2 linked regions of the Saccharomyces cerevisiae S288C genome follow. Changing the gene in region 1 together with any one later gene gives a genetic interaction. Each region holds a gene or a part of one and is shown in the gene's direction. Other genes may lie near its edges.

What was found. Genes that interact genetically often act in the same process or in processes that back each other up.
Region 2: mutations in LGE1 (region 1) and RXT2 together harm fitness more than expected from each alone (negative genetic interaction), as found in Saccharomyces cerevisiae (6 studies listed by BioGRID, with this or other methods).

The regions. Positions count from the first base shown.
Region 1 is NC_001148.4:453,356-456,712, reverse strand, and holds LGE1 (Lge1p), read left to right. Parts: upstream 1-1,722; coding exon 1,723-2,721; downstream 2,722-3,357. Other genes in the region: LEE1 (Lee1p), read right to left, coding at 49-954; LCL1 (Lcl1p), read left to right, coding at 2,978-3,283. UniProt on the Saccharomyces cerevisiae protein: Required to activate transcription of PDR3, a gene involved in retrograde regulation of multidrug resistance, a phenomenon that takes place in cells that have lost their mitochondrial genome. Also required for ubiquitination of histone H2B to form H2BK123ub1.
Region 2 is NC_001134.8:433,906-437,509, reverse strand, and holds RXT2 (Rxt2p), read left to right. Parts: upstream 1-1,811; coding exon 1,812-3,104; downstream 3,105-3,604. Other genes in the region: ubiquitin-binding serine/threonine protein kinase VPS15, read right to left, coding at 1-559; YBR096W (uncharacterized protein), read right to left, coding at 797-1,489; PBY1 (putative tubulin tyrosine ligase), read right to left, coding at 3,213-3,604. UniProt on the Saccharomyces cerevisiae protein: Component of the RPD3C(L) histone deacetylase complex (HDAC) responsible for the deacetylation of lysine residues on the N-terminal part of the core histones (H2A, H2B, H3 and H4).

The DNA.
Region 1 (3,357 bases):
CGGTATATTAATGCTTGAACTAGGAAAAACTATGGATGGGGCGGCTCTTCATTCATGACAGTATCTGGAATTGAAATTGTGAATAAGTAAATCTTCAATTTCATTATCTGATTCTTCTTGAATTGCAGGGCCTGTACGATACCTTAAATTCTGATTCACACTCGGATTCGATAACGTAGTTTGGCCTTGCTCTTGCCAAATGTTAGATGAAGACGAAGAGACTGGAGAATAGGCATTAATGTTGGAGTTATTATAGCTATAGTTGATGTACGAAGAAGAAGACGAAGGGGGAGAAAAGAATTCAGTATATAGGGCCTCTGGACTTTTCTGAGGCGAATACATTAGGTATTGCGAGGAAAAGTAGTTTGCATTCGAAGCAGAGTGAGAGAATTCCGTTTGTGCAGACAGAGGAGGAGACGTGTAGGTAGAGAAAGAAGCTGATCTAGCATGGGATAAGTAGTTGTTTTGTGAAGGGGGAGTGATGTCAATAGGTTCTTTACTGTTCATCTTGAACCCATTTGGCAGCACATGAGCATTAACACACTTGTTACCGAATTTACAGTTACCCTTTGCGAAATACTTGCAAGGTAAATTATTCGCAGAACTGATAATATCTGGGGAATGGGAAAAGGGACAAGACGAGCCAGCTTGGCAATTGCCCATCTTAAAAAATTTGCATGGCACGTGTGAATAGTCCTTCTGCTGTTGAGAATTGTTCTTCGTTATCAGTAAATGTTCCATGATAATTTTTTGTTGACGTGATGAGAAAGGCAGTTGATTGCCGACAGTACAATTTTTTGACAAATTTACATTTGCATTGCTGTCATTGAAAGACCTTGGAATATTCTGGAAATCCTGAATTTGCGATGCAAGCATTTCGTTTGCTGATTGGGAGTTTCTTCTTGCGTTACCGCCCGGATGATTTGATACAGACATATTCTCAAAAGCATCCATTTTGTTTTAGCAAATAATAGTTTTAAGATTTATAATAATAATAATAATAGTAATAGTAATAGTAGTAGTTATGATAGTGTTAGATAATAAAATCGAGATTTTGTAGAAACAAGGGGAAGCCGAAAAAGAAGAAATTATAATTACTCTAATATGACGGCACAAGAGAAAAGGGAAAAGAGTAACTGCTAAGAGATTCTGTTTTTATAATGCCCGGAGTAAAAGAAGCTTTGAGATTAAAAGATCACCACCATATTTTGTAATAATTTACTTTAGATTGAGATATAGGGGAAGAACTACACGAAGCACCGAAATCCAAAACTTAAAAATTACAAGATAAGCACGAAAATACATAATACAAATAAAAAATGATAAAGGCAGAATTATACTGTGGTACCTTGAAGATAAGAATACCGTACCACAACATGTTAATCTCCACATCATTTTATTACTAGCACTGCCACACCGTGCACCCCATACAGGATGTTGTCTGCACCTTTTCTTCCTATCATCTTTTTTATCCCACATCATACTGTGGCGGGCCTGTAGTAGAGCTCCCTTTCACCTTGGCGTTTTAAGGGGCGGGGCAAGAGTGGCGGGGAATTCCGCCGTTCCGAATTGAAAAAAAAGACACTTTGTACGGGCCATTACCCTGTGAAGTTCTTTTTTTTCTCTTATTTTCATCAGAGAGAATGAATCAACTGCGATGAAAGGAAAGAACACCACATTTATTACGAGGCAGAAGAGGTGACCAAAAAACCGCAGTAAAGTATGAGCGGATACACGGGAAATAATTATAGCAGATACTCATCCACTCCTCCGAGACAAAGGGGGGGTTATCACCATGCGAGACGAAGTAGAGGTGGAGCAGGCGGATCGTATTACAGAGGCGGTAATGCGTCTTATGGCGCGAGATACAACAGTGACTATGAGCAGCCGCCCCAAGAGGGAGACTTGAGACAAACCGGAGCATACTATCGAAACGGATACACAGATACAAGGCCGTACTATTCAGCTAATAGCAGGCATTACCAAGCACAACCATCCCCCAGGTACAACAATGGTACAAATTCGTACCACCTACCGCAACGTGGCAATAGTCAAGATACGAACGGCAGGACCACGAGCGCCTCGCAAGAAGATAATGACGAAAAAAGAGTCAAGTCCAGATACCGGAACATGCAGGCAGATCATCCACGCCAACAACCGATGAGCGTTGGCAGCACCAGCAGCAGAAATGGTAGTAGTGGGAACAGCAGCACTAGCAGCACCAGCAACGGGCTTCCGCCACCACCTTCAGTATCGTCTATAACCAACAATAGATCATATCACAGCAGTGCTTATCCATATTCCAGCAGCCATACTTACAATAATTACCACCACCGTGAGACACCACCGCCTCCCCCATCGAATGGCTATTATGCAAAGGGTTACCCAGTACACGTACCAGAAAATAGAAGTAACAGCGACGGCTCTAGCAGCAGCGTCGTCAAGAAGAAAAGAATACTAGATATGAAAGATTCCCCCTTTATTTACTTGACAGATTTTGATAAAAATGTGAAAAAGACAAACAACACCGAAAGTGAATGTGAAAAGGCGAGGGAAGTTTTCAAAGAGAGCGATTCCATCGATTCCGCTTTGGAAGAACTAAACCTAAAAATCAATTCTAATGAGCTAGAATTGCGGCTCCTAAATAACCAGTGCGACAAGCATGCATTAAATATTCAACTGACCCAAGAAAAGCTGGACTCATTGTTATTAATGCAGTAGGGTATACCGTACCTATAAATAGATAAACTACGTAAACGCAAGCGGCGGAAATTGAAAAAGGAAATTATAAGGAAGTGACTAGCGTTTTGATTTCATGAATCGAGAAAAGGTACTGCTAGGTTAAGCCCGATTAGGTAAAGAGCCAGGAAAGCGACTAGGAAAGCGACTACGAAAAAAGAAAAAACTGCGAAACTGTGAAAGTGCGTGTCAGCCATCTGTCTTTGGAATCGATTATCTATTTGCTTTGATCCCCTTTATGAAGAACGCAGCATTGTGTGAGGCTCTTCCTCTGCTCGCCACGTGCTCCCACGAAATCCCACCCACACCACACACGGTCTGTTTCGTCTTCCCCCCCGCATTATTACTATCCCCGAGCAAACTCACACTTTTGAATTCGCGTCGCGTCGCGTCGCGCTGCGTCATTATCATTGACCCACGCTTGCTGCGTCTCTTCTCTTGCTCCCGGCCACAACAACTCCCCCGGGATAAAAACCAATCTTTTGCTAAGCCATCTTTTTCTTTTTTTTTCTTTCTTCTTACCTCGTTATTATCGCCTTTCTAAACTTCCTTGGCCAAGCCTTTCAGCGGTGCTTTTTTGTTCTCACGTCCACTGCCAATTTCCACATTTTTTTCCCC
Region 2 (3,604 bases), on another chromosome or scaffold:
AGTAGAATAAAAATTCACCTGGATTATCTTCAGGCAAATATACGGGTTTGATAAATGCAGCAAAATCTGTCAATATACACCAATTCCAACTTGTTACTAGGATATTTTCTGTCTTTATATCACCATGGACAATATTCAGATTATGAATGTCCTTTAATGCATTTAACAACTGGAAAGCAATGAATTTCAGTTCAATGTCTTGTAAGTAAGGTCTCAAACTCAATCTGTCATATAAATTATTTTTTAAGTGCTGCCGTATCATGTAGCCGGCTCTATTTGTCTCGATCAATTTACTGTAGTTTAAAACGTGCGGTAGTTGTCCCAACTTAAACGATTGAGCCCTTATACGTTGGAGAAAAGGTCGTAAGCTATATTGGTCTTTTGGTTTAATAAACACTTTGATAACAATTTCGCCGTTAGGGTCCAGTGCCTTGCATGTTTTTAAGAATCTTGATGAGTTTAACTGTGAAACGTAGTGTACTTCCTCTAAGACATCGATATATGAAAAAATGGCTATGGAAGGTGATGCTTGGACCACTAGTGATAATTGTGCCCCCATTATACTGTATGCCTTCCTTTTTGATAACCTTACAGCTTTTGTATTTCTCCAATTCAACTTGTCTGCTTAAGTATCTTACTTAAGATATATCTGTTTTTCATTTTTATGATGTTGAAAAATAAGGGAAATTTACCTTGTTTTCTACCGAAGATAAAATATAACGCAGACTGCACAGAGAAACTTTTGAAAGAAGATAGATTTATATATTTTATAATACCGGCTATATGTGTATAGAAGTTAGATTTCTGAACAGTACTCTTGGCTCAAGTTTTCCAATGGTACTGTCTCGTGGAAACCACAACGCTCGGTTAAAAGCTTTAGATTGTCCTCAGAAATTTTGGCGACCTTCTCATTATATAAACCACAGTATTCAAGAGCATCCTTTGGTTTGATGGTCTTTCTACCGTCCTTAAGGACGTATTTGGTCAATGATAATGAGCATAAGACGGTGCCCTTTTTAATTGTGAATCTACTCATGACGTAAATCCATTTCTCATCCCAACAGATAATCCTTGATGAAACCGAGTACTTTTGAAAAGGCTTGATTTCCTTCAAGAAATTAGTGAAAACGTTCGCAACTGGAATATATGGATAATGCTTGGAATTCAGCATCAATTTTTGAAAAATCTTGCACATGAGATTACCTCTTGAAATGTCCAATTCCGCAAAATAGGTGCTATTGCTCTTATGAAAGTAGAAGTCACATTCGAATGGAGAGGCATAGGTATCTAGGCTGGTGTACGAGAAACAGCCATATTCATTTTTCTCAAGTTTCTTAATATTCTCGGTTTCAAACCCTGTAAACATAGGCAAGAACAAGTTTTGAATAACATAATAATAAAACCTAACAAAATATGCCCCAGGAAGCGACTTATATGAAGAGAGCAAGTAAGCAGCAAAGAGCCACCTAAAAATAGTGCAAACACCCATTATTCTATTATTTTATTTTGTTGTAGATATTGGAAAGCACTAGTTACTCGAGAAACCTTTTGGAAGTCTTGAAATTAGAAGCAATTGTTTTACAAAATTACTAAAAAGCCTTTAAGCGGATAATTATAATGTTCACTTTATAACGGCGTTATTCGAAGATCATTATTGTCTCCTATACCCAAGAGGACCGAAGCCGGGTAGCGAACTTTGTTCTGGTAAAACAATCGCTTTCAAATAGAAGAAACGTTGCTTGATGACAGCATCTCCTGCAAAAAAGAGGTTGAGAAACAAATATCTCAGCTGTTGCTTCTTGTTGATCGAGATGACTATTAGGAGCAGTATGAAAAACAACGCAGAATTGGAAAGCAAGAGTGTGTTAGCTAATGAATCGAATATAATTAGCACATTTACTAGAAGGATAATAAAGGAAAAAAGCGGTAACTATCAGGTACTGAAAAGATCCCTTGATGGAAAACTAATCTATCCTGAGGCCACTGGCATATCCTCTAACAGAGGTAACAAACTTTTGCAGAGAAGCGAAGTAGTAACAAGAAGAGACTTGAACAATTCTAAGCCAATGATTGAGCAAACTGTGTTCTATAACGGTTCGGAGCATCGCCTTCTGCAAACAAATATTGTCACTGATAGTAGACGCAAAAGAATAAAATTCACACCTGACATCAACGTCGAGCCTGTTTTAGTCGGTGATGAAAACGACATCGATGGTAGTGAGAAGGAAGACGAAAATATCACTGATGAGTATTACGGCGAAGAAGACGATGACGACCTATCAAAACTAGTGAATGTAAAGGAGATTTTGACTCCCATTCTTTCCCTAGGGGATATAATAAATCATAAAACTATCTCAAGGACATTTTCAAGCCCAATTTTGAAAAATTTAGCCTTGCAAATAATTCTAATGATTGAAAAAGAACAGATGTCAGTTGTTAGATATTCCCAGTTTTTGGAGGTTTTTTTAGGAGATCATCCTGAACCAATTTATGAATCTAACTTGAACCTACCATCTTATAATCACAATTTGACCCTTCCAGAGGATAGAGGGGCAAGCGACGAGGATGACATTAACAACAAAAACAATATCAACGAGGTTAACTCGAATAGTTTGTCTACTGAAGCTGGTCATATCAATAATGGCATGGAAGAATTTGGAGAGGAAGATCCTTTTTTTGCATTGCCAAGGTTGGAACAATCTAATGCGCTGTTATCGTTGCTGCCATCTTCTTCCGGTTCTGCTTCTATATCAACATTAACAGCGGCCGAACAACAACAGTTAAATGAGGAAATTGAGTCTGCCCGACAGCTGTCGCAGATTGCACTACAGAGGAATAAAGAATTCATAAGAAACTTACAAAAAATCAGAAAGTCTGTAATAAAAGCCAATAGAATAAGAGGTAGGATTTTAAATTGGAGTCGGGAATATTTGGGTATATCTGACGATGATATTACTATCCCGGTGGCTCTACGTGTTGTGAAGAGAGGTCTGATCAGTGCTACAACAAATAAGACAACAAATTTTGAGGAAGAAATTGAAAATACCATGGAAGACGGTGTTGTAGACGATAATGAACCTGATGAAGAAGCTAATAGAGCCTAAATTGACAAAACAAAAAATTTCGGAAATAAAATCAAGGCATATGTATTATTTAGCACTATTTAGTAATAATAACAGTATTTTAGGATGGGTTCTTTTTTTTTTTTTGTTTCACCAACCGTTTGAAGTGTAATCAATGACTTTTACGAAGTTCGGGTCTGTTTCATCATCTGTCTTATTTCTATTCTCGTTAAAGATGGGGGTAACACAGTATTTGACAGTGTCATCAAATAATTCATCAATGAGGTTCTTCAAATCTTTCCCAGTTTGTTTGAAGTCTGGGAAAGCGTTGATCTCTAGTAATTTAACTTCGTAATTCGAATCAATCAAAAAGTCTACGCCATATGTTTCAAATGCGTTTGGTAACGGTTGGAAGTTTAATCTATTTACATTTACAGCAGCTAAGAAAACGTCGTTCGTTATGCTATGGATTTGCTCCTTAATATTGGACTTTCTCTCATTTGGAATTTCCTCTATGGAGTCAAACTCCAAAACAGAAGAAT